2 linked regions of the Sus scrofa genome follow. The protein of the gene in region 1 interacts with the protein of each later gene in a biochemical or structural test. Links are inferred from orthologs where the notes say so. Each region holds a gene or a part of one and is shown in the gene's direction. Other genes may lie near its edges.

Region 1 (3,748 bases):
AAAAAAAAATTAATATTAAAATACCCAGCATCGTAGATAAAGTAGGTTATCGTATTCTCTTATTTTGTATCCCTCTACTTTCCGCTTCCAAACGCAGTAACAGTCCTAGTAGTGCTGAGCGCTGGGGCTTGAGGCGAGGGGGTGGGGGTCTGCTTCCACAGTTTGCACCGAATTAGTGATAGAATGAGGAATGGGGGTGGAGGCGCATTCCTTCGGGGGCCAAGGCTTAAGCCCAAGGGGCTGTGTACCTATCTCGCCTATACCTGAACCTCAGAACTCTTCCCGGGTTTCTGTACACAAGTAAAAAGGCGCCTACGCCCCATCCCCCAACCCCGGGAACAAGGGTCCGCATTGAACCAGGTGCGAATGTTCGCTCGCCTTCTCTGCCTTTCCCGCCTCCCCTCCCCCCGGCCACGGCCCCCGCCTCCCCCCCGCGCTGCACCCTTGGTGTTGGCTGCAGCCCGCGAGCAGTTCCCGTCAATCCCTCCCTCCCGTTTACACAGGATGTCCATATTAGGACATCTGCGTCAGCAGGTTTCCACGGCCGTTCCCTGAAGTTGTGGGGGGAGCCATCCCCGAAGTCCCTCATTTTAGGGGGTCTACGCGACCCCAAGACCGAGACTGAGAAAAGCTCAGAAGATAAAGAAACACAATAAGACGAAAGGCAGGGGGCTGAGACGGCGGAAGAGGCAGCAAAGAGGCTGCAGAGGTGGCAAGATCCGAGCGCCACCCCTCGAGAGCTGCAATGGTAGCGCTCCGTGACGTATTGGGCTCATTCATAAAATGCTGTTATAAAAGCAGTGGCCTAGTACTCCAACCGCATCTGCAGCGAGCAGCTAAGCTGAGACAGAACCGGCAGCGGCGCAGCGAGCGAGCAGCGACCGCGCTCTTACCCAGCTCAGCCCCGCAGCTCCTACCTGTCTCCGCCCCTCAGCCCCTCGCCCGGCTTTGACTACCTGCGATCATGATGTTCTCCGGCTTCAACGCCGACTACGAGGCGTCATCATCCCGCTGCAGCAGCGCCTCCCCTGCCGGGGACAGTCTCTCCTACTACCACTCACCGGCCGACTCCTTCTCCAGCATGGGCTCTCCCGTCAATGCGCAGGTAAGGCTGGCTTCGTGCCACCGCGGGGCTCGGGGCTCGGGGTTACCGGGGAGGAGACACTGGGACGGGACGCTCAGGAAGACAAGCCGGGGACCCCATTGGCCAGAGAGGGAGGCTTGCCCCGGCCGGATCAGCCCTATCTCGGGAGCCCCGGACTTGTTCGGAGCGCACACATGCTTGTCAAAATAAGAATCTTTTCTCCTCTCCCGCTGTGGGCTCATTCTGAGCTGACCCTGGCCCACGCGCTCTGACTGGTCTCTGACATTAGCTGGGGGCAAAAGTGTCCCAAGCAAAGACTGGCTAACTAGAGCCGGGCACCTCCGGGGGAGGAGGCAAAAAGCGGCGATCCTCCCTCCCCTCGCAGCCTGGAGCAGGGAGGAGGGTGAGAGGAGGAGGGTGAAGCCGGCGGGTGTGTAAGGCAGTTTCATTGATAAAAAGCGAGTTCATTCAGGAGACTCCGGAGCGGCGTCTGCGTCAGCGCAGACGTCAGGGATATTTATAACAACCCCCCTTTCAAGCGAGTGATGCTGAAGGGATAACGGGAACGCAGCAGCAGGATGGAGGAGAAAGGCACTGCGCTGCGGAATTCTTGGGAAGGGAGAGACCTTTCATCCAGGATGAAGGACATATAAAAATACATAAGCAGTCCATTTTTCACTCTCTCCCTGCTGCATGCGGCACTGGGCACTCCGCTCACCCCACCTGCGTCCAGAGCCTGGTCGCTCACGTCAGCTTTCCCCTTCTATATTTCATTCTAGGACTTCTGCACCGATCTGGCCGTCTCCAGTGCCAACTTCATCCCAACGGTGACTGCTATCTCGACCAGCCCAGACCTGCAGTGGCTAGTGCAACCCACCCTGGTCTCCTCGGTTGCCCCATCCCAGACCAGAGCCCCTCACCCCTACGGAGTCCCCACTCCCTCGGCTGGGGCTTACTCCAGGGCTGGAGTCGTGAAGACCATGCCAGGAGGCAGAGCTCAGAGCATTGGCAGAAGGGGCAAGGTGGAACAGGTGAGGGTTCTCAACACCTTCTCTCTGGTGGTGGCTGGGGTTGGGGGGGTAAGGTCAGTCTTGATGGAGATGGGGAGCATAGTGGACAGGGTGAAGCCATGGGTGGAACTGATTACATATCCTGGACTGGGAACCCCGGCTCCAAGCCCTATCCATCCCAAGTCAGACTCTAATAGTCCACCCTAAGTAATATCCAATGTGCAGTTTCTTCCCTAATAGTTTCTTATCTCACCCTTGTAGCTTCTCTTTGTTCTCCTGCTGAGGTTCTTATTTTAAATGCAAGTCACACCCAGCTTGCAACTGCAGGTTAGAAATGGCTTCACAGAAGAGGTGCCAGGAGGCGGGAAGCTGCAGGCGCCAGTTTTCCTAGGGTGGGTGAACGGAGCTGATAGCAGGCACTGTTACTGAATGTTGCCCTCTCTCTCTCTCCCCACCTCCAGTTGTCCCCAGAAGAAGAAGAGAAAAGGAGAATCCGAAGGGAAAGGAATAAGATGGCTGCAGCCAAATGCCGGAACCGGAGGAGGGAGCTGACTGACACACTCCAAGCGGTAGGTAGAATCCATGGATCACTTCTTTCGAAAACTTAAGGGCAAAGTTAGAGACTGGGTAGAAGGGAACAGAGTCTTTGAGTAAGACCGTGTCTTATGCTTTGCTGTATCCTCTGTATCCAGGAGACAGACCAGCTAGAAGACGAGAAGTCTGCTTTGCAGACTGAGATCGCCAACCTGCTGAAGGAGAAGGAAAAACTCGAGTTCATCCTGGCAGCTCACCGACCTGCCTGCAAGATCCCTGATGACCTGGGCTTCCCTGAAGAGATGTCTGTGGCTTCCCTTGATCTGAGTGGGGGCCTGCCTGAGGCTGCCACCCCCGAATCTGAGGAGGCCTTCACCCTGCCCCTCCTCAATGACCCGGAGCCCAAGCCCTCCGTGGAGCCAGTCAAGAACGTCAGCAGCATGGAGCTGAAGGCCGAGCCCTTTGATGACTTCCTGTTCCCAGCATCGTCCAGGCCCGGCGGCTCTGAGACAGCCCGCTCTGTGCCGGACATGGACCTGTCTGGTTCCTTCTATGCAGCAGACTGGGAGCCCCTGCATGGTGGCTCCCTGGGGATGGGGCCCATGGCCACAGAGCTGGAGCCCCTGTGTACCCCGGTGGTCACCTGCACCCCCAGCTGCACTACTTACACGTCTTCCTTCGTCTTTACCTACCCCGAGGCTGACTCCTTCCCCAGCTGTGCGGCTGCCCACCGCAAGGGCAGCAGCAGCAACGAGCCTTCCTCTGACTCGCTCAGCTCACCCACGCTGCTGGCCCTGTGAGCGGGCAGAGAGGGGAGGCAGCAGGCAGGCACGCGCCACTGCCCGAGTCGGTGCATTATGGAGAGGAGAAACACGTCTTCCCTCGAGGGTTCCCGTAGACCTAGGGAGGACCTTATCTGGGCGTGAAACACACCACCAGGCCGTGGGCCTCAAGGACTTGAAAGCATCCACGTGTGGACTCGAGTCCTTACCTCTTCTGGAGATGTAGCAAAACGCATGGAGTGTGTATTGTCCCCAGTGACACATCTGAGAGCTGGTAGTTAGTAGCATGTTGAGCCAGGCCTGGGTCTGTGTCTCTTTTTCTCTTGCTCTTTAGTCTT
Region 2 (3,648 bases), about 58 Mb from region 1:
CAAGTATTCTAGGAGGAGGGGAAACGGCCCTGTGCCCCCTTCTTAGGGGTGCGATACCCTCAAGCGGATTTCCCGGCTTCTGCGGGCGCCGCACATTGTTTTATTTGTTTTGAAGGCTCAGAGTTTGAGGCTGGTCGGAGACACCCACGTGCTTCTGACTCTCATCAGTGTAATGATCGCCTTAGCCAGAGTCGTGTCTATATAAACCACAAAAACCTAATCATTAGAAATCCCAGCCTCCAAAAACCACATTTTAGGTAAAACTGCCGCCTTTTTTCTGCGCTCCTTCATCCTTTCGACCACAACTTTTGGGGGGATCCAAAGTCGCTTTTTAAACCCACACTGGGAAATAAATACATAAATAAATAGCCATCGAAGCATTTTGAATATTTTATTTCGTATTTTAATTTTTTTTCCTTGGGAGTGGTGGTGGTGGTGGGGAAGTTAAGACATTAGACCAAGTTTTAGATGCAGAATAGACTTATTAATAGATTGAGATTCATGGAAAACTGCTGGGGTTCCCCCCCTCCCCGCAAGGGTTTTAGCAACTTATTTTAATCATCAAGTTGATAGTTTTCCAGTCCTTAAAGAAACTCATCCTTGTTCTCTAGGAACAAGTTTGAATATAGAAGAAAAAAGTGTCCGGCTACCCACAGTTTGAGTTTCTAAAAACGATTTTGACAAATGTCCCCTCCATCCCAATTTTTTTGAGTCGCTTAAGACAAAAAACACCCAAACTCTGTAAAATCTTTTTTTTAACCCCTCTTGGGAGCCGCTCCGGCAGAGGTGGGGGGGGGATGGGGTGGGGGAAGGGTGAAGAGTGCTGAGAAGTCAGCACAGACGCTCAAGAATTTTCCTTCTTCCTCTCCTGAAGTTACAACGAAAAATAACGACAGGCAGATCAGCCGGCAGGCTCTCTGGCGTCTCAGCATCAACCTCCTCCGACCAAGAGGGGGTTCCTGGTTCTAGGGGGGAGGGGGGTGAGAAGCAAGAGGACGCGACCAGGCGAGATCCCCCTAGACCCGGGCCGCCTCTCTCGGCTTCGGAAGCTGCACGCCGCGTCCCGGGGGCTACTTCTCGCGGCCGGCGGGCGGCGGCAGCGGCTGAGATTCGCAGGCTCGAGATCCGCTGCCCCGAGATCCGCTGCCCGCGACTTACCTCCTGGCGCCTCGAAGCGCGAGGGTCAGGGGAGCTTTGCAAAGAGCTGGAGGGAGTGGATGCGAGGAGGGAGCGGTGAGAGGGCGAGAAGAGGAGAAGGGAAAGGAAGGAGCCGAGCCGGGGAGCCGGGCTGGCAGCCGCCGCGGGAGGAATCTGAGTGTGCAGCCGGCGCGGGGGGAGCGGCAGCCGCAGCAGAGCGGCGGCGGCAGCAGCGGCGCGGGCGGGCGGGCGGCGCGGCGCGGACGCCAGCAGCTGCGTAGCTGCTCGTGGCGCGGCGCGGCGGTGGCGGGCAGCGCGCGGCGATGCTGGCCTCTGGGTTGGACTGCTGAACCCACTGGGCTCAACCGCCGGACTCGAACTGGGAGGGGGCGCCAGCGCACCCAGGACGCGGTGCCCCAAGGGACCCCACTCCAAGCTGCTGCGAAGTGAAGTCTCCCGCCTGCCCGAGCCAAACACATCCTGGTGCCCGTTCGCAGCTGCCACCCCGGGTGTTTCAAGGGCTCCAGCAAGATCTGCGCCTCCCGGGTCTCGTCACCCGCCAACCCGATTGCTCCGCACCGCCACCGCTGGCCCCCGTCAGACTCCGCCCGGCAGTCTGCTTCATCGAACTTGATTTCTCACCTCCTCAGCCCCATCACCTCCATCCCCTTTCCCCCGTCTCGCCTCCACCCCCCCAATTTCCTCCTCCTCGCCCCTCATTCCACCCTCCTCCCCCTCCCCCGGCCACTTCGCTAACTTGTGGCTGTTGTGATGCGTATTCCCGTAGATCCGAGCACCAGCCGGCGCTTCAGCCCCCCCTCCAGCAGCCTGCAGCCCGGCAAGATGAGCGACGTGAGCCCGGTGGTGGCTGCGCAACAGCAGCAGCAGCAACAACAGCAGCAGCAGCAGCAGCAGCAACAGCAGCAACAGCAGCAGCAGGAGGCAGCGGCAGCGGCGGCGGCGGCGGCGGCGGCGGCGGCAGCGGCAGCCGCCGTGCCCCGGTTGCGGCCGCCGCACGACAACCGCACCATGGTGGAGATCATCGCTGACCACCCGGCCGAACTCGTCCGCACCGACAGCCCCAACTTCCTGTGCTCTGTGCTGCCCTCGCACTGGCGTTGCAACAAGACCCTGCCCGTGGCCTTCAAGGTAAGAAGCTGCGGCCGCCCCCCCACCCCCCGCCCCCTGCCCGGAGCCGCGGGACCTGCCTGCTAGCGTTTCCGTGCCCGCGGGGGCCCGAGCCCGGACCCGTACTGCCTCCAAGGTTCCTATCTTGGTGGCTCGGACCCGAAGGAACGCCGTCTGGCCCTCTTCCTCCGGATCTGCCAGCGGGCTCCGGGCGTAGTGACCCCGTGCAGATAGATCCTTCCCTCTCCCACCTGTGCCCGCAGCCATCACCTCAACCCTGGTTCTCTTTATCCGTTCATCACCCGTGGAGCCTGCCGGCCAACATTCTGACCCACTTCTCCGAGCCGTCTTACCTCCCCCAGGAGCCCCCAGGTGCCCACTCTCCGAGCTGCGGCCCGAACTTGCTCCACCCCGCCCCCACTCCAGGGTATCGCCAGCGTTCTCCCCACGGACTCCCGCGTCCCTCTCCCCAGCATCCCTGCCCGCCCTGCGCCTCAGGCTGCCGCGCCACCCCTCCCCCGGATCCCGCGCGCTCCCACCCTTTCCCCTCCAAACCGAGCGCCCTCCGCCCGTGTCGGCGCCCCCTTCTCCCACCCGTTTGAGCCTCTGCGGCTCCGGCCCCTCTCGGGCTCGGGGGCCTGTGTTCGTGGGGTGCCGGCGCCGGAGTTCGAGCCTGGGGAGGGGCTCCGAGTGCCGGCTGCCGCGGCGGCGCGTGGGCCGCCGGACTGAAGTCAGAGAGGGTCCCGGGCAAACTTAGGTACCCGGGGAGCGAGTGAGGGGAGACAGGTCGGGGGCATTTTCTCCGCCTGCAGCCCCACGCTTGTTCCGGCTACTGGGAGGAAGGCGAGGCAGCCGGGGTCGCCCCGCGCCCAGAGGCCGGGGAGTACGCGAGTCCTGGGCGCCAGACCCTCAAGTGCAAGGCGGCGCGGGCCAGGGAAGGGGGCGGGGGCTGGACGGCCTCTTCCACGGGGACCCGCTCCCCGCCTCGCCGCGCCTGGGAGGGAGAAGGGAAACCTGTGAAATGCCTTCAGCTTGCCTGCCTTGAAAGCGGAGGTGACTGTGCGATTCGAGTCATCTTATTCTCACTTTTGAGGACTTGGACCCCAGAGGTCCCTCCTGCTTCTGAAAGGTCTTGTGGCGCTGGGGCCCGTGATTTGGGAGCGGAGGGAGTGACCCCGGGGTTGAAAAGCGCCCTCCGCGCGCCCCGCGGCCTCCTCCGCCCGCCCCGTTAGTTTGAGGGCGAGTGTCAGCAATTGGAGTCGCGGGCTGCGGCTCTTCCGGCAGATTGAGGGCGTCGGGGAGTGCGTTTGGGGTCCCCCGGGGAGACCTCGCCTCCTCGCACGGCCCCCAGAGCTGCGAGCATCCCGGGTTGCTGGGGAACTG

The links.
Region 2: the proteins of FOS (region 1) and RUNX2 form a complex in vitro, tested with the Homo sapiens proteins (2 studies listed by BioGRID). The link is inferred for Sus scrofa from reciprocal best matches to the Homo sapiens genes FOS and RUNX2.

The regions. Positions count from the first base shown.
Region 1 is NC_010449.5:98,448,544-98,452,291, forward strand, and holds FOS (proto-oncogene c-Fos), read left to right. Parts: upstream 1-964; coding exon 965-1,105; intron 1,106-1,863; coding exon 1,864-2,115; intron 2,116-2,555; coding exon 2,556-2,663; intron 2,664-2,786; coding exon 2,787-3,428; downstream 3,429-3,748. UniProt on the Homo sapiens protein: Nuclear phosphoprotein which forms a tight but non-covalently linked complex with the JUN/AP-1 transcription factor. In the heterodimer, FOS and JUN/AP-1 basic regions each seems to interact with symmetrical DNA half sites.
Region 2 is NC_010449.5:40,204,004-40,207,651, forward strand, and holds part of RUNX2 (runt-related transcription factor 2), read left to right. Parts: intron 1-1,924; coding exon 1,925-2,286; intron 2,287-3,648. UniProt on the Homo sapiens protein: Transcription factor involved in osteoblastic differentiation and skeletal morphogenesis. Essential for the maturation of osteoblasts and both intramembranous and endochondral ossification.